Linked DNA regions of Stegostoma tigrinum. The protein of the gene in region 1 purifies or fractionates together with the protein of each later gene. This does not show direct contact. Links are inferred from orthologs where the notes say so. Each region holds a gene or a part of one and is shown on either strand. Other genes may lie near its edges.

What was found.
Region 2: the proteins of obsl1a (region 1) and calcium/calmodulin-dependent protein kinase kinase 2-like purify together in Homo sapiens (affinity purification with mass spectrometry; 4 studies listed by BioGRID and IntAct, with this or other methods). This does not show direct contact. The link is inferred for Stegostoma tigrinum from reciprocal best matches to the Homo sapiens genes OBSL1 and CAMKK2.

Annotation. Positions count from the first base shown.
Region 1 is NC_081360.1:102,223,330-102,236,211, forward strand, and holds the start of obsl1a (obscurin-like protein 1a), read left to right. Parts: upstream 1-7,479; 5' UTR 7,480-7,800; intron 7,801-11,462; exon of another isoform or gene 11,463-11,618; intron 11,619-12,882. Other genes in the region: inha (inhibin alpha chain), read right to left, coding at 1,017-1,741, 2,788-3,127. UniProt on the Homo sapiens protein: Core component of the 3M complex, a complex required to regulate microtubule dynamics and genome integrity. It is unclear how the 3M complex regulates microtubules, it could act by controlling the level of a microtubule stabilizer.
Region 2 is NC_081379.1:24,721,328-24,733,818, reverse strand, and holds the start of calcium/calmodulin-dependent protein kinase kinase 2-like, read left to right. Parts: upstream 1-6,354; 5' UTR 6,355-6,481; intron 6,482-11,041; 5' UTR 11,042-11,097; intron 11,098-12,491. UniProt on the Homo sapiens protein: Calcium/calmodulin-dependent protein kinase belonging to a proposed calcium-triggered signaling cascade involved in a number of cellular processes. Isoform 1, isoform 2 and isoform 3 phosphorylate CAMK1 and CAMK4. Isoform 3 phosphorylates CAMK1D.

The DNA.
Region 1 (12,882 bases):
AACGAGTTGCTAGATGATGCGGTGGAAGCTGATACAATTACAATATTTAAAAGGCACCTGGACATGTATATGAATAGAGATGAAGGGTTTAGATGGATACAGACCAAATATTAGCAAATGGGACTAGTTTAATGTAGAATATCTGGTCAGCATGGACAAGTTGGATCAAAGGGGCTGTTTGCATGCTGTACGTCACTATGACTCTATAAAAGTAGGGAGACTGTGCTAAAGCTATAAAAGCCACCAGTCAGACTCTAGCTGGAAAACTGTTAACAGCTTTGAGCCCTTCATTTGAGGAAAAAATACAGGCATTGGAGGTAGTTATGGATCAACTGTCTTATGAGGACAGGTTAAGTAGGTTCAGTCTGTATTCAATGGATCTTAGAAGAATGAGAGGGGTACTTATTGAAACAGCTAAGATTCTTAGAGAACTTGACAGGATAAATATGAGGATGTTGCTTCCCCTTGTAGGAGGTTCTAGGACCAAAGGGCAAAATCTGAGTGTATGGATTCACCTATTTAAGACAGAAATGAAGAAGAATTTCTCCCCTTAGAAGCTAGTGAATCTGTGGATTCATTTTTATACCTCAGAGAGCTTTAGAGGCTACGTCAGTGAGAACAGTCAAGGCTGAGATAGACATATTTTCAAACAGCAATGGAATCTAAGGTTATAGGGTAAAGGCGGTAAAGTGGAGTTGAGGATGATCTGGTCAGCCTGGCCCAATTGACTGGCAAAGCAGACTAGATAGGCTGAATGGCCTGATGTCTAGTTTCAGAATGGAAAGTGAATGGACTGTTGGCTATTTGATTAAATGTTTACCAACTATCCATCAAATATTCCTTTCTTTCCAAAACTCAAATATTTTCATAATTAATAAACAATGAATGCACTGATACAGCTTCTTTATTTATTTCATTACTGTCCCTTGGATTTGTCTTTTGGATTCTGATTAATTTTCAGTTCCTTGAGAGTCCAAGGCCACCCTATCATTATGCTGAGGGTGAGGAAGCAAAGTCTAAATGCAGGCACATTCTTCGGTGATAATGTTTGGGATAGTCTCGTATTTAAAAGTGTAGCCACTGTCGGACGTTGTCCTCACTCTCAGGGGCTTCATGGTCCCTGGGACTGAGGTGCAGCAAACCTTGAGGCCGAGGCTGGAGGTGAGCCGGTTGGAGTTGGAGCAGGTCCCATTGCAGTAGTAGAAGGTGAAGACACTGGGTTGAACAATCCAGTTGCCCCATCCCAATTCTTCAAAGGAGATGTTAACGGCAGAACGATGGCAATCGTCATGAATAAGTTCAGGAGATGGTGGCCTCTGAAGGAGACTGACATATGCGGGGGACCAAGGGACTGTTGAGCGTCTAGATCGAGAAGGACCCAAGTTCTTCGCTGTGGACAGGATGAAAGGCACATTCACTTGGTCCCTCACACACTGGCAATTGGCACACTTGACCTGAAGGAAAAGTATCTTGTGCGAGATATATGAGAGGAAGGACTGGGAGATATGAAAGATTACCCACTGTCCTTCAACTGCCATGCTCTCTGCTGCCTGGGCAAAGCTGCCAGGTTCAGTGAGGAAGTACAGTTTAGTGGGGGGGTCAGCACCTGGGGGTAACTGGACCCCGGCGTAAAACCAGAACTCAGCAGAGGTCACCTGGCTGCGACGGGAGTGCAGGGATGGCTGAAAGACGTAACTGTAATTGCCCACGAATCCTTCATACTGTAAATCACACGGTATGTCTGAAAATAAAAGTATGGGGGGGGAAGGGAAGATTGAGCGGAATGAGTTATAAAATAGCCAAAACTTGTGTAAAACCGAATGATTTGCATTCACTTGTTTTGCTTCCATGCTTGTTTATTGCAAATATCAAACATTGTTTGACAGTTCCCGTTCTCATTTGATTATGTCTTCAAAATAAACCACCCAACCACACACCCAAATTTTGTGCCACCTGCTTAATCCTATTATCTTAACCACATCTCGTGCTGTTTATGTGCGTATGGGCTCCCAGGTCAGTGGGTAACCCACTCACTTCTCACTCCAGCAGTGGTGGTCTTAAGATCCCGTTTAGAGACTGAGAATCTAGTCTGGCATTGGAGCACTGAGGGACTGCCACACTGTTTGGAGGCACTTTCTTTCAGATGATATGTCAAGCTTATCCACTTTCTAAGTGGAGGCCATAAAGGATTTCACAGCATCTGTTTCCAAGAAGAGCAGGGAGCAGTTCACACCAGTCTCCTGGGAAAATGTGTACTTAAACAGAAATGGACAACACCTGGAAATTATTACCCAGAAGGCATATGAGAGTCAATCATGTTGCTGTGGATGTGGAGTCAGATAGAGACCAGACGGAGTAAGGACAATAGATTTCGTTCACTAAAGGGAAGCGGTTGATGGGTTTTTAAACGGTACATAGTTTTCATTAGGCTATCTTCTCTCAACTGAATTCATATTTCACCATCTGCTATGGGATTTGACCCCTTTAGTTTGGGGTTCTGATTTACTAATGTCTGGTGACATTACATTATATCACTGCCTCCGTTCTATTATGATCACTACAAATTGGCTATCAGGTCATCGTTACACTGCTGTCTGTGGGAGCTTCCTGTAGAAATCGGATGTTGTACTGCATGTATTACGACACTTCAAAAAGTACTTAATTGGTTGAAAAGTACCTTAGGTATGGCTGACATTGTGAAACAGTGTGGCCAGGATTTATCATCCTGACATACAAAATGATACTATTTTTACGTATTTGTTTTATGAAAGCCAAAAGAAAGCTTACTGGTTATGGGGAATGAGATGACCTCCGATTTATCGTTGTCCGTTTTGGGTTTGTGATGTCCAATCCAGCGGGTGATGCGCCGTGTCAGTCTGCGGTTTTTGAACGGATTATGCAGCTCCTGGCTGGTTACATTGCAGTTCTCTGGGGGTTCAGTCAGCCCCAGGCTCCTCAGAATTTTCTCCTGCACCTTTGCAATGATTGCATCCTCACTCATGCTGTGCATTGAGCAGGCACTTTCCAGCATTGGGGCCTGGAACATCAGAATCAGTAGCACCATCCACAACAAGCTCAGGAATAAAGGGACACCAGGGAGTTTGTGGGAAGCATGAAGCTGGAACATTGGGACAGAGGGGGACAGAGTGAGGGGGAGAATGAATAAGATACGTACACAGAGTAGAAGATAAACACTAAACAAGATAACTAACTTGAAAGCGATTACGAGGGAGGTTCTAAGACAATGCAGGAATTTAATGATTCAGATACAGAATGATGAGGGTAAATGAGAGAATGGGATCCAATGACAGAGATAGAAACACAGATACAGTAAAAACAGGAATGCAGGAAGACCGAAAGAATAAAATCAAAGTGTTTGAGACAGATAGATTGTCAGACAGCTAGAGTGGAATTGAGTCAGTGTAACCGGGGAGGAAGACAAATGCACACTGACACAGACTCACACCACACACAGGCACAGAGACACATGCACAGATAAATGCACACGGACAGATATATACACACAGACACAGTCACCCACAGATACATGCACACAGATACACCCACATATAGAGACAAAAGGAGAGATGGACACAAACACAGTGGACAGAAAGAAAGAGCCAGCAATACAGAATATGAGACAAAACAAGATACTGATGCAAGAGGAGAATGTGAGTGAGAGGGACTGAGAGACTCAGACAGAGGATAAGACTGAAAGATTGAAACTGGCAAAAAGCAAAAGAGGCACAAAGGCACTGAAGAAAATGCAATACAAGCAACAGGCACTCAGAGGAACAGAGTTAACACAATAGGGTTAGTTAGAAAGAGAATACACCATTACAGACAGAGTCGAGGAGAGACTCAGTTCGACAAGGAGAGAATGATACTAATGTCCTTTTAGTGTGATCTTCAAAACTCCTACAATCCCAGCAGACACACCCTCAAATGCTTGCTTGGAGGGCAGGTCGAGCTGACAGACTTGCCATTCACCCTGATTGTGCTGATTGGTGACCTGCCCCCTGACCCTGCTGCTCTTTGTCTCTCTCTCTCTCTCTCTCTCTCTCTCTCTCTCTCTCTCTCTCTCTCCCCACTGAGCTCTTCAGTGTGAATGCGCAGAGTTGCCACTATCAGAACTCTGATAGTCTGGTGACATTGGGCACGGCCTCTAAGACTGTTGTTAGCTGAATGACGTGGGTCTCCTGATTTGAATTATCTTCTCACAGAAGCACAAAACTCTAGCTGTAGAATATCATATTTTGGCCTCAAACAGCAGCCAATGGCTGAAATTCAAAGAAAGACTGATCTCAGGGACAGGGAGAGGTCAAACCAAATCTTCACTGATGCGAAAACACCTCCAAAGGAGTTCTCAGGAGGGATGGGAAGCTGTGATTCTCTTTTAGCCATGGATCTGAAGCCTGTCAGAGTTTGACCATTCCCTCAGTATACAATGTGGAGATTGCAGTGTAGTGAGATTTAGCCCACATTGATACAACAACTACCTGCATTTCTGTAGTGCCTTTCATGACCTCAGTAAATCCCAAGGTGTTTTGCGGCTGCTCGCAGTATTTGTGAGTAGTCACTCTTGTAATGTGGGAAAGTTGGGGCCGCAATGTTGATTGAGGGATAAATATTGGCCAGGACACCAAGGAAAGCTCTCCTGCTTTTTAAAATTGGGACTTTTGTCATTCTTGATTGTGCAGCGATGTTCCAGTGATAATCAAAAGCCTGGTCAAATACTCTGGGATAAATTGGTTCAAACCCCACACTCAACTGGTAAACCCAATTCAAATTAAGCTTGAATTGAAATATAATCTCAGTAATGGTGTCTACAAAGCTATCATTGCAGTAAAAACCTATCTGGTTCATTAATGCCCTTTAGGCAAGGAACCCTCCGGCCTACATGTGACTCCTGATCCTATGGTGACATGGTGGCTTCAACTGACTTCTGAAGTGACCAAACAAGGGAATGGCAACTGATGTAACCGGTTCTTCCTCTCACCCATCCCTTCCTCCCACCCCAAGCCGCACCCCCAGCTACCTACTAACCTCATCCCACCTCTTTGACCTGTCCGTCTTCCCTGGACTGACCTATCCCCTCCCTACCTCCCCACCTACACCCTCTCCACCTATCTTCTTTACTCTCCATCTTCGGTCCGCCTCCCCCTCTCTCCCTATTTATTCCAGTTCCCTCCCCCCATCCCCCTCTCTGATGAAGGGTCTAGGCCCGAAACGTCAGCTTTTGTGCTCCTGAGATGCTGCTTGGCCTGCTGTGTTCATCCAGCCTCACATTTTATTATCCTTGCATGTAAAGCTGCATTTAAAATATGGCCTCATGTTATCTCCCAGAGGCTAGTGAATGCCTGAAATTCCCTATCCTAATGAACGGTGGAGAATTGATCAAGTAAAGTATTTGATGAGGAGGTAGACTGATTCTTGAAACATCAGGGAAGTGAGGGATATGAGGAGATGGCACAAAAGAGTAGTTGAGGCCGGGGCAGATCAGCTGTGATCTTGTTGAATGGGGAAAGAGGCTTGAGGCCTTGACCTATCTCTGTGGCTATTTCTTATGTCCTCCCGTTCAATTGGGCTTTTTAACCAGCATGAAATGTGATGCATCTCTTACTGCAGTGTGATCCTATAGGTAGCACACATTTTGGTCCCTGCACAGGCTGAGTTCTCCCCCAAAGAAACTGCTGTTGCCCGACTGGATATCGAGGCTGCAACATTAAAGAAATCTTTAGTAAGTGAGCAATGCCACAGAATGCCAAACGACATTTCCAGGGAACTAACGTCATGAGAGGGATCAGCACTTTGCTGATAAATGTCTTTATATATAGAGAGAACTGAACTCAATGTCATTCTCCAATCACTCGTTACTGTCACTCGGATTGCACCACATGCAGAGGGAACATTTCATCTAAATGCAGGGTCTCTCCCTGAGAGGTACCTCACTGCCAGTATTTAATGAGATGAGGGTTGGAGATACAAACCATCCACAGTGCAGAACAGCAGTGAGACTTGGGTAAGGTGTGTCAGACGTGGTGGAACTAGGAGAAAAAGCTTTGTATTTGTATAGCACATTAACATAACCTCAGTGCATCCGAAAACACCTTCTGGCCAATGATATGCAATCATTGTTGCAGGAAACATGCTAGTCCAATTTCTGCACAGCAACATTCCACAATCAACACAGTGCTAAATGCCTGTGGCACATAAATCCAAGCTGTGGCACTGGAGGGTCAGAGGCGGTATACCAGTCTGATACCCAGAATGCGCAGGTTGTCTTATGATAAAAGGTTGCAGAGGCTAGCTTTATTCCCACTGGCGTTCCGAAGAATTAGGAGTGACTTGATTGAGGTGTATCGGATCCTAAATGGTTATTACCAGGTGAACATGGAAAAGATGTTTCCTCTTGCTGGCCAGTCCAGAACTAGGGGGTTCTAATTAAAAATTAGGAGTCACCTTTTTAGCTCAGAGTCAAGGAGAATTTCTTTTCTTGGAGGGTTGTGTGACTTTAGAACTTGGGGTCAATTAATATTTTTAAGACCGAGATGAGTAGCTTTGTGTTTGGCAGTGGAATCAAAGGAGTGGATGGGAAGGAGGAATTTGAAACGAACAGTTCAATCACGATCTTATTGAATGATAAGCAGGTTCAAGGTGTGGAATGATCCATTTCTGCTCCTATGCTGTATGCCCGCTTGTAACATTTCTACCACAGTACAGAAAGAGTGCTGCACATAAGGCTTGCTCTCGCAGATGGCACTGCTCTAAAGAAAAGCAGGATAGTTGTCCCCAGTGTCCTAGCCAATAGTTATCCCTCAAATTCCAAAAAAGCTGCACAAATGCTCTGTCCATTACAATATTGCTCTGTCCAAACTGATCACAATATTCCTTACGTTTCAACAGTGACTGCACTTCAGGAGTACTTAAATCATTGTAAAGCACATTCAGACTTTCCAAAATAGTGATAGGTGCTATATAAATGCAAAGACCGCTTTCTTGCTCGAACTCGTAGGAGCAGTGTATGAGCCAAGTCCAATTAGCTCTTCCACACTTCTGTTCAGCTGCTTCGTATCAAATGACAAGGCAGTTTCAATCTTTCTAATTCTGTCGGCTGTCCCACCATCCCCCTCCACCATCCACTCTCACCCCCTCCCAGACATTGCTTGTCTAAGACAGCAGAGATCCTTCTGTAATGTCACTTAAACGTAGACACGTAACACCTCGTTGGCTTCAGCTAATTCTGAATCTCTGCCACAGCACAGATAAGGGTCTTCGAATTCCTGAACGGGATTTGCAGTCACTGATCCTCCTACTTAGTCTGCAGCCCCACACTCCCCCAACCAGTCAACTTTCTCTTGGCAGGCTGGCCAGTCAATGGATGGTGGCCTCCTTTGCTCCCTGCATCCCCCTCCCACTATGGTCTCAACCATCCACACACTGCCAACCACCAGTCCAGCTCCTATTGGTGTTGTCGGGTCATGATGGCAGGGGTTATTTTGGGAGAGGAGACAGCTGGATAAGCTCCTTCAAACAATGAGCTGCAGAGCAGAGCAGGAGGGAGTAAGAGACTGGAGCATGGTTGAGGGGAACGGGGGAGGGTAGTTGCACACGGAATTTAAAACAGTCTTGCTGCTGAAAGGGCCTCCCCTAAGGACGGTCCGCTGTTAACAATGAGACTCATGGAGACGACATCTTAATGAATAAGCTGCAAAGAGGAGTGTAGGGATCTCAGAGGAAGAAACACTTGACAGGCAAACTGCTTCCCATCCCTGCCCTGAATTCTCAGCTAACTGGCTGGTAAGTAAATGATCAAACCCATGCCATTCTGTGTTGTAAAAAGAAGTGGTTGTGAAGTGCTTTCAGAGTATTAACAATCTTAAAGAGATATCAGATCATGTCAAGAGTCTGTGTAATGGAATGCAGCAGGTTGGGCAGGGATCATATGATAGTATTAACTCCCAGTCAAGCCACATGTTGAGTGCTCTTAGAGGTTTTCTGTAGTCCACTCTGTCCTAATATAGCCTGGGATCTTCTCCGTCTCCTTATCCTCTGACAACCCCTCAGGTATGAGGGCGATTTGAAATTAATATATTCAAAAAAGTTTGTTTTTTTAAGAGGCAAAAATAGAAACTGCTGGAAAAGCTCAGCAGGTCTGGCAGCATCTGTAGACAGACAGCAGAGTTAACATTTCGGAAAGGATTGACCCTTCCTCAGAGGGGTTCCTGTGGAAGGGTCACTCGACCTGAAATGTTAAATCTGATTTCTCTCCACACCTGCTGAGCTTTTCCAGCAATTTCTATTTTTGTCTCTGATTTACAACATCTGCAGTTCTTTCAGTTTTGATATTTTTTAGATTTTAAAGGCAACAAGAGACATGGGGAAAAGGCATGAACATGGCTCCAAGGGCCACATGGCCTGCTCCTGCCCCTGGTTTGTATGTTTTTCTAGCTTGTTGCCAGCCAGGGTTCGATGGCTTTTGGAATGACTGAAATGACTGATGCTTGATCTGCAGCTTCTGCTGCATTTAGAAGGTTGGGTTGATGGGTGATTATGCGTTTATGCCGTTCCCTCTGACAGCTCATCTTCAGCTCTGCACCTTTCCAATGGAGTCTCCCAATGTCTTAGGCATCTTCCAGAGCAAACCTTCTCCCTTTTGGTTGTTCACAAGCTAGGGTATCCATGAGTCATCAGGGGATGTTTGATCTCTTCAGGGAGGCCTTGAATTGAGCAGTCTCATTTGGAATCTGGGGTCAGGCTCACGAGTAACATGTACTGCCCAGTGATGCTGGTTTTGAAAGACTGGCCTCTCAACGGCAGGAGTAGGTATTGATGTTAGTCATCCTTTCCTGTTCTTGGATTTGGAGGATCTTGTGCAGGTGACACTGCTGGGACCTCTTTAGTGATTCAATGTGTTCAGCGTAGGCTCTCCAATTCTGGAATATTATTAGTGCACAGACAGGGAAGGGTTCCATTCGTGTGTTTGTGGAATTTTCATGACAGTTATGATTCAGACTCTGAAACATCTGTTTCCAGGGAATAAAGTGACTCAATTGGATCAGATGTCAGTAGGCAGTATGTTTAGGACATTGAGGTCACAGTATAATAAGAGTTTGATTAAGCATAGAGAGGATCAAGACAAAATCAAGGGTAAAATACTTCACTGGAGTAAGGCCAATTTCAGAGAGTAGGGAATGGATCTGTCTTGAGTAAACTTGAATGAACGATGAGCATGCAGAACTGAAACTAGACACTGTGTTGCCTTTATACAGGAACCAGTTCAGGTGCAGGCCTGTAGCAATGTGGTTGACTCTTTAACTTCCCTTTGAAACAATCAATCAGGCACAAGTCAGGAGCGTGGAGGAATACTTTCCAGTTGCCTGACTTAGTGCAGCTCCAAAAACACTTAAGAAGCTTGATCCAGGACAAAGCAGCCTGCTTGATTGGCACTACATGCACACACATCCATTCCCTCCATCACAGATGTTCATAGCAGCAGTGTGCATAATTGACAAGATGCATTGCAGATATTCATCAAGGCTCTTCAGCCAACACCTTCCAAACTCATGTTCACTACTGTCTGGGAGGACCATCATCTGCAATTTCCCCTCTAAGTCACTCATAATCCTGACTAGGAAATATACTGCCATTCCTTCTAAACCCTGGAACTCCGTCTCGGCAGAACAAATACTGCAACGATTGGAGCAAGTAGCTCACTATCACCTTCTCAATAGTAATTACAGACTGGCCAGCCAGAAATTAGCACAGCCCACCATTTTTTTTTAAAAAAGCCTACTGAAGTCAACAGCAATTCTGAATTGACTGTATTTCTGCTTGACATGGAGAACATATGTGATAGAAAACAAGCAAGGTCATCCCCAAAGGAACCGATTTCTGTTTGGCAGTTTTTGAATAGATCCTTTTAGTGAAGCGGATCTCTGGGACTGCAGCAGAGACTGTGTTACCGTGTGCATTATACAATTGGAAAGAGAATGGAAGGGAGAAGTGACAGGGGTCTTTTGACTGCACAGAGGGCAGTCAGCAATGTCAATGTCTCTCGACTATTAAGCTAAAATCAGAAGCTAATTTTCTCAGGGTATAGGTTCAAACCCCACCATGGCAGATGGTGAAATGTGAATTCAATAAAAATCTGTAATTAAAAGCCTATTAGTGACTATATTGAAAAGAATCAATCAGCTTCATTACTTGTCCTTTAGGAAAGAAAATCTGCTGTCCTTACATGCACTTTTTAGAGTCATACGGCATGCAAACAGACCCATTGGTTCAACCAGTCCATGCAGAGCATAATACCAAACTAAACTAGTCCTGCATGTCTGCTCCTGGCCCATATCCCTCCCAATATTTCCTATGCACATACTTATCCAAATGTCTTTTAAACATTGTAATTGAACCCTCATCCATCACTTACTCAGAAATTCATCCCACACATAAACCATCCTCTGCATTAAACATTTGCCCCTCATGTCTCTTTTAAATCTCTCTCCTCTCACCTTAAAAATGTGTCCCTTTGTCTTGAAATTCCACATCCTGGGAAAAGACAACTAACATTAACCTTATCTGGACAACTTACTTTTTTTTTATAAACTTCTAGAAGGTCACTTCTCAAATCGTAGAATCCCTACTGTGTGGAAACAGGCCACTCCCCTACCACCACTTAACAGCTTCCCATCCAGACCCATTCCCCTACCTCTGCATTTTCCCATGTCTACCCACTTAACCCAAACATCCCTGGACACTACAGCATAGCCAATCCACCTACCCTGCGCATCTTTGAACTGTGGGAGGAAGCCAGAAGGACACCCATGCAGACACAGGGAGTATGTGCAAACTCCACACAGACAGTCATTTGATGGTGGAATTGAACCCAGGTCCCTGGTACTGTGAGGCAGCAGTGCTCACCACTGAGCCACCGTGCCGCCAACCTCCTAGGGCCCAGGCTATCCAGCCTTTCTTTATAACTCATACCTGGCAATATTTTGGAAGATCTCTTTTGAGCCCTCTCTAGCTTAATAATATTCTTCCTATAACTAGGCGACCAGAACTGGACACAGTGTTCCAGAAGAAGCTGTACAACCTCAACATGACTTCCCAAAACCTATTTTCAGAGGACTGAACAATGAAGGCAAGCATGCACTAGGCCCGAAACATCAGCTTTCCTGCTCCTAAGATGCTGCTTGGCCTGCTGTGTTCATCCAGCTGTACACCTGGTTATCTTGCATGCTAAACACCTTTTTGACCACCCTGTCTATATCTGATGCAAACTTCAAAGAATTATGTACCTGAACCCCTGGGTCCCTCTTTTCTACTTGGTCTGATCTATACGTGACTGCAGAAACACAGCAATGTGGTTGACTTTTACTTTTAATGGTCAATAAATGCTGGCCTAGCTACACCGCAGAAATGAATTAAAAATACAATTCTTGCTGTTTCAATCTTTCCAGAGGCCATCAAGCCACTTAAAGGGACAGGAAAAGAATTTGAGGATTCTGTGACCGTCAGTACTTGCACAGACTAAATGAGAAAAGGTTTGTGCCTGCGCATCATTACAGTATTAATCATGTCCGGGAACTTAAGATGAACAATGGCTGCTGCTAAAGGTGATTTAAGGGCCAATTCTTTGAGTGGGAAATAAGAGGCCATTCAACCCATCGTGCCTGCACAGGTCCTATTACCTACTGCCAATCTTCCACCTCTTCCCCAGATTGCAACACCATTTCTATTCAAATAATCATCCGAAGCCCCTCTCGAATGCTTCAGTTGAAGCTGTCTCCACCACATTTCCAGGTCATGCATTCCAGACCCTAACTACTTGCTGTGTGAGAAAGTCTTTTCTCATATAACCCTTGCTTCATTTGCACATCACTTTGAATCTATGCTTTCTCATTCCTGTTCCTCTTCTGAGTAGCAGCAACTCTCCCTAACAACTCCGTCCAGTCCATTCACGATTTTGAAAACCTCGATCAGATCTTCTCTCAGCTTTCTTCTCTCCAAGGAGAACGAACCTAATTACTTCAATCTCTCCTGATTGACAGCCCTGTGATAGTATCGCAAGGCTATTAATCCAGAGACCCAGGAAACCTTCTGGGAACAGGGTTCAAATCCCAACGTGGTAGATGCTGGAATTTGAATTCAATAATAATCTAGAATTAAGAGTTTAATGATGGTCATGAAACCATTGGTGATTTTCAGGAAAAACCATCTGGTTCACTAATGCCCTTTAGGGAAGAAATCTGCCATCCTCATCTGGTCTGGTTTGCATGTGACACCAGACCCACAGCCAAAGTGGCTAACTCTCAACTCAATTAGGGATGGGCAATGAATGCTAGTCCACCCAGAAATGACTACATCTCATTAAAGAATAAAAAAAATTACTGAAATTGCTCATTCCTGTCACTAATGATGTAAGCTTGAACGGAGGGTGATTAATCAGTAAGTTTGTGGGTTATATGAAAATTAGTAGGGTGGTAAATAGCTAGGAGGGTAGCCATAAATTACAGGATGATATAGACAGGTCAGTCAGATGGGGTGAACGAAATTCAGTGGTAAATAGAACTCAATTGATAAATGAATCTATGAAATGTGAGGTGATGCATTTGGGCAGGACAAACAAGGCAAGGGAATAAATTATGAATGGTCAGTCCCTGAGAAGCACTGAGGATCAGAGGGACCTTGGTGTGCATGTACACCAGTCTGTTAAATCAGTGGAACAGCTAGATAAAGTGACTAAGAAGCAGTTCTGAGGAAGTGTCAACAGACCTGTAACTATAATTCTGAATTTCTTTTAACAGATGCTGCCAGACCAGCTGAGCTTTTCCAGCAACTTCTGTTTATGTTGTGACTAAGAAGGCATATGGGACACAC
Region 2 (12,491 bases), on another chromosome or scaffold:
TGTACAACCTCAATTTAACATCCCAACTCCTATCCTCAAAAGATCTGAGCAATGAAGGCATGTGTGCTAAATGCTTTCTTAACCACCCCTACCTACATGTGATGCAAATTTCAAAGGAGTCTCTGTTCTACAACACTACCCAGGGCTACATATGAACTGTATAAGACCTGCTCTTGTTTGTTTTACCAAAATGCAAAACCTCACGTTTATTCAAATTAAACTCTATCTGCCTGTCCGACCCTATTGATCAAGATCTCTTTGTGATCTTAGATAACCTTCTTCCCTGTCCACAATACCACCAATTTTGGTGTCATCTACAAACTTAGTAACAATGTCTCCTAAATTCTCATCCAGATCATCTATACATATGACAAATTGGCTTCCTTTGCTTTAGCATTGAAATGTTTTGTCTCAGCCTGTATTTTTCTTTCTTATAAGAGAGGAGGATATCACTGTTGCAAATCCACAATGCCACTTATACACTTACCTTCTTTACGATTCAAATGTTATTATGATGTTGAAATTGGTGCTACTCATATGTAAAGAAACACGAAACAATCAAGGGTTCTTCTTATTCTTAGCTCAGCAATACCGGAAACATCCGTAAATTGTTAAGCCTACCAAGATTGTATATACACACTTCTCCATTTGTTTAATTCCCAAATTCTCTTCACTGAAGTTACAGAATCATCTCTTATCCATACATTGAAATATTAAAGAAGTTACAGGAGGCCAACAATTGTTGTACCTGTGTAACCCTGTACAGGTAGTTTTGCTATAACGCATGTTTCGTTAACGTGAATTGGCTGTAATGCAATTTACGAATAGTGGACATTTTGGATAATGCAAACTTTCTGTTGTATATGTATAATGATTTTCTATAATGATTTTTCTATGGCAATTTTCTACGCAGGAACGCAACTGTCACGATTTAGGAGAACTATCTATACAACAAATTTTGTTCTTCAGTGATTTCAAGCTCAAATGTTGATATGGCTATAATTCAAAATATTTTCAACTTACTTAGATTCTGGTCTCTACCTATGGTCAGCAGATTTCTCCTTTCTGACATCCTTACTGGAAATCCCACTTCTGTGTTCCCATACATCTTGGCTTCCCACTGTCTAGAAATTCTTGGCCTGGCTTGAATATCCTTCTTCTCAGCTCGATGAAGGATCCCGAATGGTTGGTTTTCAAGCCAAGTCCCAATATCATCATCATCAATGTGACACTCCGATATTGATTTTTAACCGTTGTTTTCTCGACATCTTTGCCACTGGAGATGCAGTGCACATTTGTGCCTTTGACCAGAGCATTGCAATCACAAGCTGCACACAATCCTTGATACACAATAATCAGCATGCTCTTCAGATTTATTGAATGCAAGCTCCAGTTTGCTGTTTTGACACTTAACCACCCGCTAAAGGCATTCCAAATTTTCACATTTTTCCAAATGGGTTTTTTTCAACTTTCAAGTTGCATTTACAGTTCACCAGTGCATGCTCTGTTGTATTTTGTTTTAAAAATTCATTCAGTTTTATGAGCATATATTCATGTTATCAAAATAATGAGTATTATTGGTCCAGGAAATAGAATTAACATGGTTTATGACTAGGAATAGTGAAGTTCAGAAAATATGGATGAGAGTTTATAGGCCTCCTAAGTAATTACACAGCTCAACAGAGTAGTGTGATAAGTTACAGTAACTACTTGTTTAAAGACAATGTCATTGTTGAGGCAGACTTTAATGCTTTTAACCTTAGACTGGACTGGGCCAATCAAATTGGCAAAGATGGTCCGGAAGATGCAAGAATACATTTGCAACAGATCCTTGGAGCAATGAGTGGAACCAACTATGGATGGAGTTATTTTAAATATAGCATTGTGCAATGAGGTGAGGGTAATTATTAATGTCATTCTTCAAAGATCCATTGGGAAGTGGTGATCATAATATTCAATTTCTTATTAAGTTTACAAATGACACATCACAAACAAAAGTCTTAAATTTAATATTAAGGGGAGAGTTTGGAGGAAAATATATTTTGAGGGTGTGGTAATAAAATGTGTGAGATAGTTAAAAAAAATTCAAAATAGTCCACAAATCGTATACCATATAAGTCAAAAGTTCAGCAGGAAAGATTTGGCTGTGGCTTACTGAGAAGGTTAAACAATATCAGGTAAAAAGAGGCTGGAGGCTTCTCTTACAAAGTAGTATTAAACCTGAGGACTGGATGTTTTGGAAAATTGCGAAAGACTACCAACAAGTTTATTAAAGATGTATCAGATAAAAGGAATATGAGATCTAGGAATATTAAACCGGTTGTAAGAATCACTTGTAACAAGGTGTAGAGCTGGATGAACACAGCAGGCCAAGCAGCATCAGAAGGAGGAAAGCTGACGTTTCGGGTCTGGGACCCTTCTTCAGAAAGGGGAGAGGGGAAGGGGATTCTGAAATACAGATGGCGGGGGGTGGTGGATGGAGGATGGATACAGGAGAAGATAGGTGGAGAGGAGACTGACAGGTCAAGGAGGCTGGGATGGAGCCAGTAGAGATGAGTGTAGGTGGGGATTGGTCAGTCCAGGGAAGACTGACAAATCAAGGAGGCAGGGATGAGGCTGGTAGGTAGGAGGTGGGGGTTGAGGTGGGAGGAAGGACAGACAGGTTAGGGATACGGGGACGAGCAGTGCTGGTTTTGGGATGCAGTCGGGGAGGGGAAGTTTTGAAGCTTGTGAAGTCCCCATTGATACCATTGGGCTGCAGGGTTCCCAAGCGAAATATGGGTGCTATTTCTGCAACCTGTGGGTGGCATCATTGTGGCACTGGAGGAGGCCCAGGATGGACATGGCATCCAAGGAGTGGGAGGGGGAGTTGAAGTGGTTCACAACTGGGAGGTCCAGTCATTTGTTACAAACCTACGCTCGATTCGCGACAAATGACTGCACCTACGCTCAGTTTGCTACAAACGACTGCACCTGCCAGTAATGAACCACTTCAACTCTCCCTCCCACTCCTTGGATGACATGTCCATCCTACTATCTCTAAGAATCGCTTAGCAGGCCACAGTGAGCTCTGTGGGCTCTCTGTTGAACAAGTCTGCTCTATGACTCTCACTTTTGCAAGTATACAGAATGGAAAGGATGAGCTAAAATAAGTATGAGAACCTTAGAAACAGAATTAAATTCTGGTCCTTTAGAGGCAGAGACAGGAGTGATTATCATGGAGAATGACAACATGGTAGAGACTTGAGTGCAAACCAAACTGACCACTATCTTTTATTGGCTCAATAAATCTGGTGAGATGACCAAAGCAAAGCAACATCTATCACTATCAGTTCCCGAAATCAATTGATTGTTTCTGTCAGCAACTATGTAGCTAAGAACTTCCAACCCTCCCCTATCCTTAGGCAACAGGCATGCTTTGGAATGGTATAAACATTAAATCAATACAGAAGTAAACCATTTTGCACTTTGAATCTGCTCCAACATTCAATGTGATCATGGCTGATCTGTTTGTGCTTCATATTCTACATTCCCATCTTTTCCCTTCCTCCCAAATCCCAATAACCCTCGATTCTACTACCCTGCAAGAATCCAGAATCCAACTACCTGTCTTAAAAAATTTAATAATCCCAGCCTCCACTGCCTTATGAGGTAAATAGTTCCAAAGTCTCTCAATTCTCATGGGGAGAAAAAAGGCACATGCCTGTTCTGAAAGATCAAACCCTAATTTTAAACCATGCGCCCGAGTTCCGGATAGACCCACAAAAAGAAATAATATAAACAAATCCACCTTGTTAAAACTGTTCTCGTACATAACACTAAAGTCAAGTCACCCCTCACTCTTCTAAATTCCATTGGAAATAAGCCTGGCCTGGCTAATATACCCTCTTAAGGCAACCCACTCATTCCAATCAAAGGTGACCAAAACTACAATTGTGTACAGTTCTGGTCACGATACTACCAGAAGGATGTGGATGTTTTGGAGAGGGTACAGTAAAGGTTTGCCAGGATGTTGCCTGCTTTGGGTGATTTTAGCTATGAAGAAAGCTTGGCTAGACTGGGTCTGTTTTCACTGGAACCCAGGAGATTGAGGGGTGACTGAATAGAAGTTTATAAGATTATGAATGGCGTGGATAGAGTGGAAAGTATGAGGCATTTTCCCAGAGTGGAGAGGTCAATTACTAGGGGACACAGATTCAAGGTGCGAGTGGGTAAGTTTAAAAGAGATGTGCAAGGTAATTTTTCACACAAAGGGTGGTAAGTGCCTGGATCATGTTGCCAGAGAGAGTGGTGGAAGCAGACCACCATAATAGCAGTATTCAAGAAGCACCAGGACGAATACATGAATAGGAAGGTAATAGAGGGATACAGATGTTGTAAATGAAGACTGTTTTGGTATGGAAGGGCAAAATATGGCAGCGCAGGCTTGGAAGGCCGAAGGGAGTGTTCCTGTGCTATTTTGTTCTTTGTTCCTTGAACAAACTGTATTCTAGAGTGGTCACATCAATGCTGAGTAAAACTGAAGCATATCATCTTTTTATGTTAAAATTGATGTTAAAATTGCCTTGTAAAAAAGGGTAGCATTCCAGTAATCTTGATAATGTGCTGTATCTGCATACTGGTATTTTTGTGACAAGTGCAGCAGAACACTCAAGTTCTTTTGCTTGGAATTGTGCAGTCATCCTCTATTTAGAACATAGAACATAGAAGTTTTTATTTTTCCTGCTGAAATGAACAACTTCACATTTTCCCATACTTTATTCCTTTTTTTGTCCATTTACTTACCTTATGTCTGCACGTTATTTCACAACATACTTCACTATTTTGGTGACATCAATGACTTTAGATACCATGCTTTTCTCCTCATTAAGTCATCATAAATTGCAACAAGTTTAGACCCTAGCACAGACTCCTGAATGACTCCACTCATCACATCCTGCCAAACAAATAAAGACTCTTTTGTGCATGCTTTTATTTCTACCAACCAGCCTGTCTTGTATCTGTGCTAATCTATTGCCTCCTCTATCATGACCTTGCATGTTTCCCAATAACTTTTGATGTAGCACCTTTATCAAATGTATTCTGGAAAGCCAAGTATAGTATGTCTAAAGGTTTGCTTTTATCCACAGAGCATGATATAATAGATTGATTAAATATGATTGCCCTTTGTTTAAAAAACACATTTCAAATAGAAGGGCATGGAGGCGGTGACAGAGGTGGGCCTAGAGTGGCGAAATTAAGTTTGGGCCAGTTCAGTACTCAGCAGCATTGGGGCATCTGCATCAGTGAGATCTAGTGAGGACTCGTGGTGAGGGCATCGGTGGCCAAAGAGTGGCAAATTTTGTTCTTGTGGGCGGTGAAGGGGACTTATGCCTGGCCACCAGGGCCAGGGCCCAAACAGAGCACTTAACAAGAAGGACTATAAAGTTGAACATTTTCTTTATTTCTTCATTTTTCTCCCATGATATTCTCTGTTTTTGGTTTGTTTTTCTGGGATTTAAGATGGTGCTTAGGAGTGGCAACATCAGTGAACACTGCTTTTCACTATATTTTGTAACAAGACATAGTAATAAATAAATAAAGCTTTTAAAAAATCAAATTATTTTATCTTAACTATACATTGATTTTGCTGCCCAAATAAATAGTTTCAATGTCTAGCTTTTACAGTGATGATAAAAAAAATCTGGCTCTACCAAGTGGCCAAGAAGTAGGCTACCCATTGTTTTTCATTATAACTTATGTGATCTACTGTTTTTAATTATATTTGCTTCACAATCAGATAACCCCTTTATTACTGAAGTTTATATTCTAAAACGTATAAACCACGAAACTTTTTTTTGCTACAGATGGGATAACTGGGGCATTTTCCCGTGTAATTTACAATCTTAGTGATTTAGACGAAGAGAGAGGGTAATATGCGCAGGTTTGGTAATGAAACAAAGCTGGGTGGGAATGCAAGATGCGAGGGAGACACAGGAACTGCTAATTGCTGTGGACAGATTATTAGACAACAAAATAGTTGAATAAACCGAGTATAATGTGAGGTTATGGAAAGCGAGGCAGTGACATTGCGGTAATGTAATTGGAGCACAAATCCAGAACCCTTGGCTCATATTTCCGGGAATGTGATTTGAATTGTATCATGGTAGATGGTAAAATTTGAATTTAGTTGAGGAAAAAGCTCAATCAAAGCACTTCTAACCTCGTTCGTTCCATCCTAATCACCCCCGCCTGGACTGAATCGTCCATCGTTTTATTATAGTTGTCTCATGGTGGGCATGACCTTACCCTTCTGATTGGCTAATATTGATGTCAGTTAGGCCATATCGGCCCGCCCCCTTTTCGGCTGTCGGTTGTGCGCAGCCGCGGCGGAACGGGTGACGGTTTTTCGGACTGTGGTCGAGCTCTTGAGCCTCTGGCACCGAGAGGTCGGACATGTTGCTGTAGTTTCAGGACGTGGAACCGAGCGACTGTCATGAAGGTACTTGCCTCATTGCTGGCTTTAGTGCAGTCATTGTTAAATTTGGGGTGGTCGCTCCTTCCTTGTAACGATGAAGCTGCCGCCCTCTATTTCCCACACCCCCACTGCTCCATCGAAATATGGAATTATTGTCAAATACAGTAATATTTGGTATGAACAGAGACTTGATGCAGTTTTAGAATAGCTTCTCCTCGGTTTGGTGGAATCCAACAGTATGTTCAAGCAGCCTTGCTATTGTTGGAATTGGAGATGTAGGTGTCGGAAAGGCGAGTGGGCGTTTACTGATGGTGGTGATTCTACTTTAATTTTGATATTTGTATCGCAACATAAGTGTGAAAGCGGGGCGTGTTATTTATCAGGGCCAGCCTGCGTTAGGCCTGGGATAGTTTTTCACTCTGGTTTCTTGCAGAGTGTTAGGCAGGGACCAGCCGCAGTCCCTAGGGTTTATGTCAGATCTAAAAAAAGTCAGAAATTGCTGGGAAAGCTCAGCAGGCCTGGCAACATCTGCGCAGAGAAATCAGAGAACATCAGATCTGATATTCTGAGGAAGGGTCACTAGACCTGAAATGTTAACTCTGATTTCTCTTCACAGTTACTGCCAGACCTGCTGAGTTTTTCCAGCAATTTTGTTTTTGCTTGTGATTTACCACATCCGCGATTCTTTCGTTTTTTTTTATTTTTGTCAGATCATCCCGGCCTCCCGCTTATTCTGGCTGTCAAATCCAAAACTAATTTTTGTTATGCCCGATGTCAGCATGTGGACTGGGAGGTATGGAAGTAGAATGCTTGATTTTGGAATTAGTGTGGACGTGTACATTTTTAGGGATTACATAGTTTGGTGAAAGTCTTTAATGGTTTCATCGTTAAATTGTCAGGGTGGAGAAAAACGTGATCTTCATCAGTAATTTGCATAACTCCTTTCAACTGACATTTTGCTATTCTTTGCTTTTATTCTGTCTATCGACATCGAGAGTCCAGGTTACCTCTGTGAGAACGCAGTGCTTGTCTCAGCTGTTTGTTTGCCAACATTCCCTCCATACGTACCGATACCAGTGAATGTTTGTTAGAATGGAGGTGCTTCCTTACATAGTTCAATTTCCCCCTACCCCCCCCCCCCCCAACAGCCTGTTGACATTATTTGCTAATCAGTCTTTTTTTATGTATTCACATGTGACCTGATTTAGTGCCGACTTCTAAATGTCTGTGAGTCAGTGGCTAAGACCCTCATTTTGACCCATGCACCTAAACGTGCGAAGGGCCTTTGATTTTTTTTTCGTCCTCACTGTCCAGTGCTGGAAAATTGGAAAGTGGCAAACGTCACTCCCTTGTTCAAAAAAAGGAATAGGGATAACCCTGAAAATTACTGACCAGTTAGTCTTGTGTCAGTGGTGTGGCAAGTTATTGGAAACAACTCAGAGAGAGGATTTATGATCACTTGGATAGGAACAGTTTGATTTGTGATAGTCAGCACGGATTTGTGAGGGGTAGATCGTGCCTCTCAAACTTTATTGAATTCTTCAAAGAGGTGAACAAACACATGGATGAAGGAGAGCAGTGGATGTGGTATTATGGATTTAAGTAAGGCAATTGATAAGGCTCCCCATGGTAGGTTCATGGAGAAAGCAATGAGGCATGGGATGGGGGAAATATGGCAGAATGGATTCAGAATTGGCTGACTCTCAGAAGACAAAGGGTGGCAGTAGATGGAAAATATTCAACATGGTGCTCAGTTAGGAGTGGTGTACCTCAAGGATCTGGGTCCTCTTCTACTAGTGATTTTTGTAAATGATTGATTTAGATGTAGCAGTGGTAGGGTAGATTAGTAAGTTCACGGACCATACGAGGTGGGTTGAGTTGTGGATACTGCGGAGGGCTGTTCTTGTTTACAAAGGTACATTGATAGGATGTAGAGCTGGGCTGAGAAGTGGCAGATGGAGTTTAGCCCTGAAAAGTGAGAGGCAATTTGTTTTGTAAGGACAAACTTGAAAGCAGAGTACAGGGTTAATGGAAAGATTCTTGGTAGTCTGGAGGAGCAGAGGGATCTTGGGGTTCATGTCCACAATTCCCTGAAAGTTGCCACCAAGGTGGATAGAGTTGTTGAGAATGGTGTGCTAACTTCCATTAATAGAGGGATTGAGTTCAAAAGCTGTGAAGTTATGCTCCAGCTCTACAGAACCCTGGTTCGGTCACAACTGGAGTAGTGTGTCCAGTTTTGGTCACCACCTTATAGTAAAGATGTGAAAGTTTTGGAAAAGGTGCAGAGGAGATTTACCAGGATGTTACCTGGAATGGAGGCAAGGTCTTATTAGGAAAGGTTGAGAGAGCTTGGGCTTTTCTCTTTAGAATGATGAAGTATGAGCGGCGACTTGGTAGAAGTGTTCAAAATGATCAGAGGTATAGATAGTGGTAGCCAGAGATTTTTTTCCTAGGGTGGAGGTAGCTATTATGAGGGGGCATAATTTTTGAAGTGAATGGAGGTAGAAATAGGGTAGATGTCAAAGGTAAGTTCATTACTCAGTGTGGTAGGGGCGTGGAATGTATTGCTGGAAAGGCTAGTGGAGTTGGCCTTATTAGGGGCATTTAAGCAGCTATTAGATAGGCATGTGGATGATAGCATAAGGTTGGGGTAGAGGTCAGTTAGACCTTAGGTTTAGGGTAAAATGTCAGCACAACATCGAGGGCTGAAGAACTGTACAGCACAATACAGGCTGTATGTTCTATGATACTTATGGTACTAGTGGGTAGAAACTTAATGAAATTTGAGCAGGTGGCATTGAAAGAACAGAGATAAATGTCCAAATCAGGATGGTGTGTGACTTGGGAAGAATCTTGGGGGTGTTAGAGCTCTGATGTCCTAGCCGCCCTTTTCTGCATGGGTGATGGAGAGCAAAGGTTTGGGAAGTACTGAAAAAGAAGCCTTGATAAGTTGGTGTAGTGCATTTTATAGATGTAATGTTCTTCAGACTTAGTGCCTTGGTGGTGCATCATAGAATCCCTACAGTGTGAAAAGCCATTCAATCCACCAAGTCAACATCGACCCTCTGAGGGTCATCCCATCCAGACCACCTTCCTACCATGCCCCTGAAACCCTGCATTTCTCATGGTTAATCTACCTAGCCTGCACATCCCTGGATACTATGGGTAACTTTAGTATGGCCAATTCATCTAACCCACAAACCTTTGGACTGTGGGAGGAAGCCAGAGCACTGGAGGAAACCCACACAGACATGGGGAGAATGTGCAAATTCCACACATTCTCCCTACGTCTGAATGGTTTCTTAATGATTTAGTAATTTTCCCATATCGACATTAACTTTCTAATATTATCAGAAAATATTACATCTGTGCCATATAGTTTATACCAATCAAGAAAAGGCTGAAAATACACCTGGACAAAGCTGCTTCAGTATTTAGATATACATGATAATAGCTAATAGCTATGTGTATTGCAGGGCCTGCACGTTAGTAGCCATATGTAGCTTTAATGTTTGTCCTTTTTTAAGAATTACTAAAAATTTGTAAGTCACTGATACATATTTAATGAATTCCCTACTGTGTAAACAGGGTAGAATCCATGGTATTGTGGTAGTGTAACAGTTATTGGAAAATCACTTACACTTATACAATTTGTAAAATTTGAACTCCTTTTTAAATTTCTCTGCTTTTTGAGTCAAAATGCTATCTGTCTATGTTCAGGTTTGTTATAATATGGATTATCTTTAACTCATTCAGTTAGTTCAGAGAAATTCTCACCACATCACGTCCACTTAAGACATTGCCCTTTTTTAAAAGCAATTTTTAAGAGTTTTTCCAGAAATCCAAATCTGATTCTTGTGGCAGCTGAGGTCATGATGAACAGTGTAAGGCAATTATGACCATTCAGGGATTCACTTGAGTGCAACATATTATCATAAACAATGTTTAAAAACATGTAATTACTTGAACAGATCTGCTTATGTGCGTCATTAAACAAGTATATGATATTATGTTTGATTACAGAATCACAAAAAGATATAGCATGAGTGGATGTCATTCAGCCTATGCCTACATAGGCTTGGAAGTGCTTGCCTTCTCCCACAACTTGCAGATGGTTCAAATTGAAGTATTTGATACTCTTGTGAAAGCAATTATTGAATCTGCTCCCATCACCCTTCTGAGCAACACATTCTACATTGTAAATCACAGTGTAAAAACGGTTTCCTCACAACACTGTCTAGTTGTAAAACTCGTTACCTTGTTGCCGCTAGAATTGGTTTCTCCTTTATTTGTCAAAACTCTGATTTATGAATATCTCAATTGGATAATCCTAAAATTTCTCTGCTTAAAGGAGGACAACTCCAGCTTCTTTAGTCTTTCCATGTAACTGAAGCATTGCATCCTGGGTTCCATTCTACCAAATTTCCTCTGTGATCCGTCTGAGACTTTGACATTGTTTCTAAAGTGGACATAATAATCCAGCTGGTATCTAACTAGTGATTCATAAATGTTTAGTATAACTTCCTTGTTTTGCAATGTCCCATGCTGTTCAGTAAGCTAATATACTGTATGCTTTTTTAACAGCCTTCTAACCTCAACCTGCCTGTAATTATTGGAATGCAATCAGCCAGGTGGAACCTGTGAGTTTCCTAAATGAACTTTTTAATCTGGTCTAATCAGAGTCCTGATAGATACAAACAGGAGTGTCAGAGGTTCTGTTCACTCGAGCCAACTCTAAACTAGCTGGGTCAGTGCCATGTACTATTTGCGTGCAAATAAAGGGTGACTTGATGATGGGATACTGGCCGCCTTCGGGTTATTTCAGTGGTGACAAAAGAAAACCATGCCCTTGAAGAAATTTGTGCCTAGCAGCCATCTTTGATGTGAGGTCAGCATTTCTGGCCTCCTGCAGCTCTTTGGGAAGCTTGATTTTGTTCGATCCTGCTGTTAAAGACTAAACCCAATATGTGGAAAGAATGTGTTTATATTTTCAATGCAAATGACATTGGGGTGGATCAAAAGCATTGAGAAATTCTTCTGACTGCCTGTGGACCTGCAGTTTTTTTGGTTAATAGCAGCCTGAGTGTCCCTGAGGCACCAGATACTTAAAACTTTCAAGAGTTGATGGATTTATCTAAGGAATATTACAATCCCAAGATGCCTTTGCTTCTGAGATGCTATCGGTTTTACTCACCAGTTCAAGAACAAGGAGAATCTGTAACCGATTTTTGATGAGGTTAAGGCAGTTAGTAGAAGCATTATTTTTGGTTTAAGCTTATGTGAATTGCTGCAAGACCATTTGGTATGTGGGATTAATTATGTGGCTATGCAAAAATGGCTACTAGCTGAAGGCCCCAACTGGACTTCAAATTTACACTACAACTGGCTTTGACGTGAGATAATGTGGCTTGTGGAACTTATGAGTGACAGGGTTTACTGACAGAAGTGAACGCCCTTGCCAGGCCACCTGAGCTTGGGGAGTGCTACTTGAATGAAGGCAATTGCATTGTCTCTCTGGGTCATATCCTGAAGAGGACATTAGGTCAGTCTACAGCAAAACTCCAAAACAAAGCCAAGCTTCTGCAAAACACAAGTTTCTCAAGGATGGAGATATTAGGAACTGCAGATGCTGGAGGATCTGAGATAACGAGGTGTAGAGCTGGAGGAACACAGCAGGCCGCACAGCATCAGAGGAGCAGGAAGCCTGCTGTTTCAGGCCTAGATGGGGTCAGCAGACCATTGTATAGTTGCTGCCAGCATGCAGACTCGAAATAGCAAGCGACCCCCACTGGGTCTGAATTAAGAGAGCACATAGAACATTACAGTACAAGCCCTTTGGCCCTCGATGCTGTGCCAACCTGTGAAACCAATCTGAAGCCCATCACCTACACTATTCCATTATCATAGGCCGATGTGCAGGAGAGTGCACACCCTGGGGAAGTCCACCTACAGATGGTTTGGAACAGTTAAATTACTTAGCAACATCCAAATCAGAACTAATCAAAATAAATGTTCAGTTAGATGGTCACTTAGT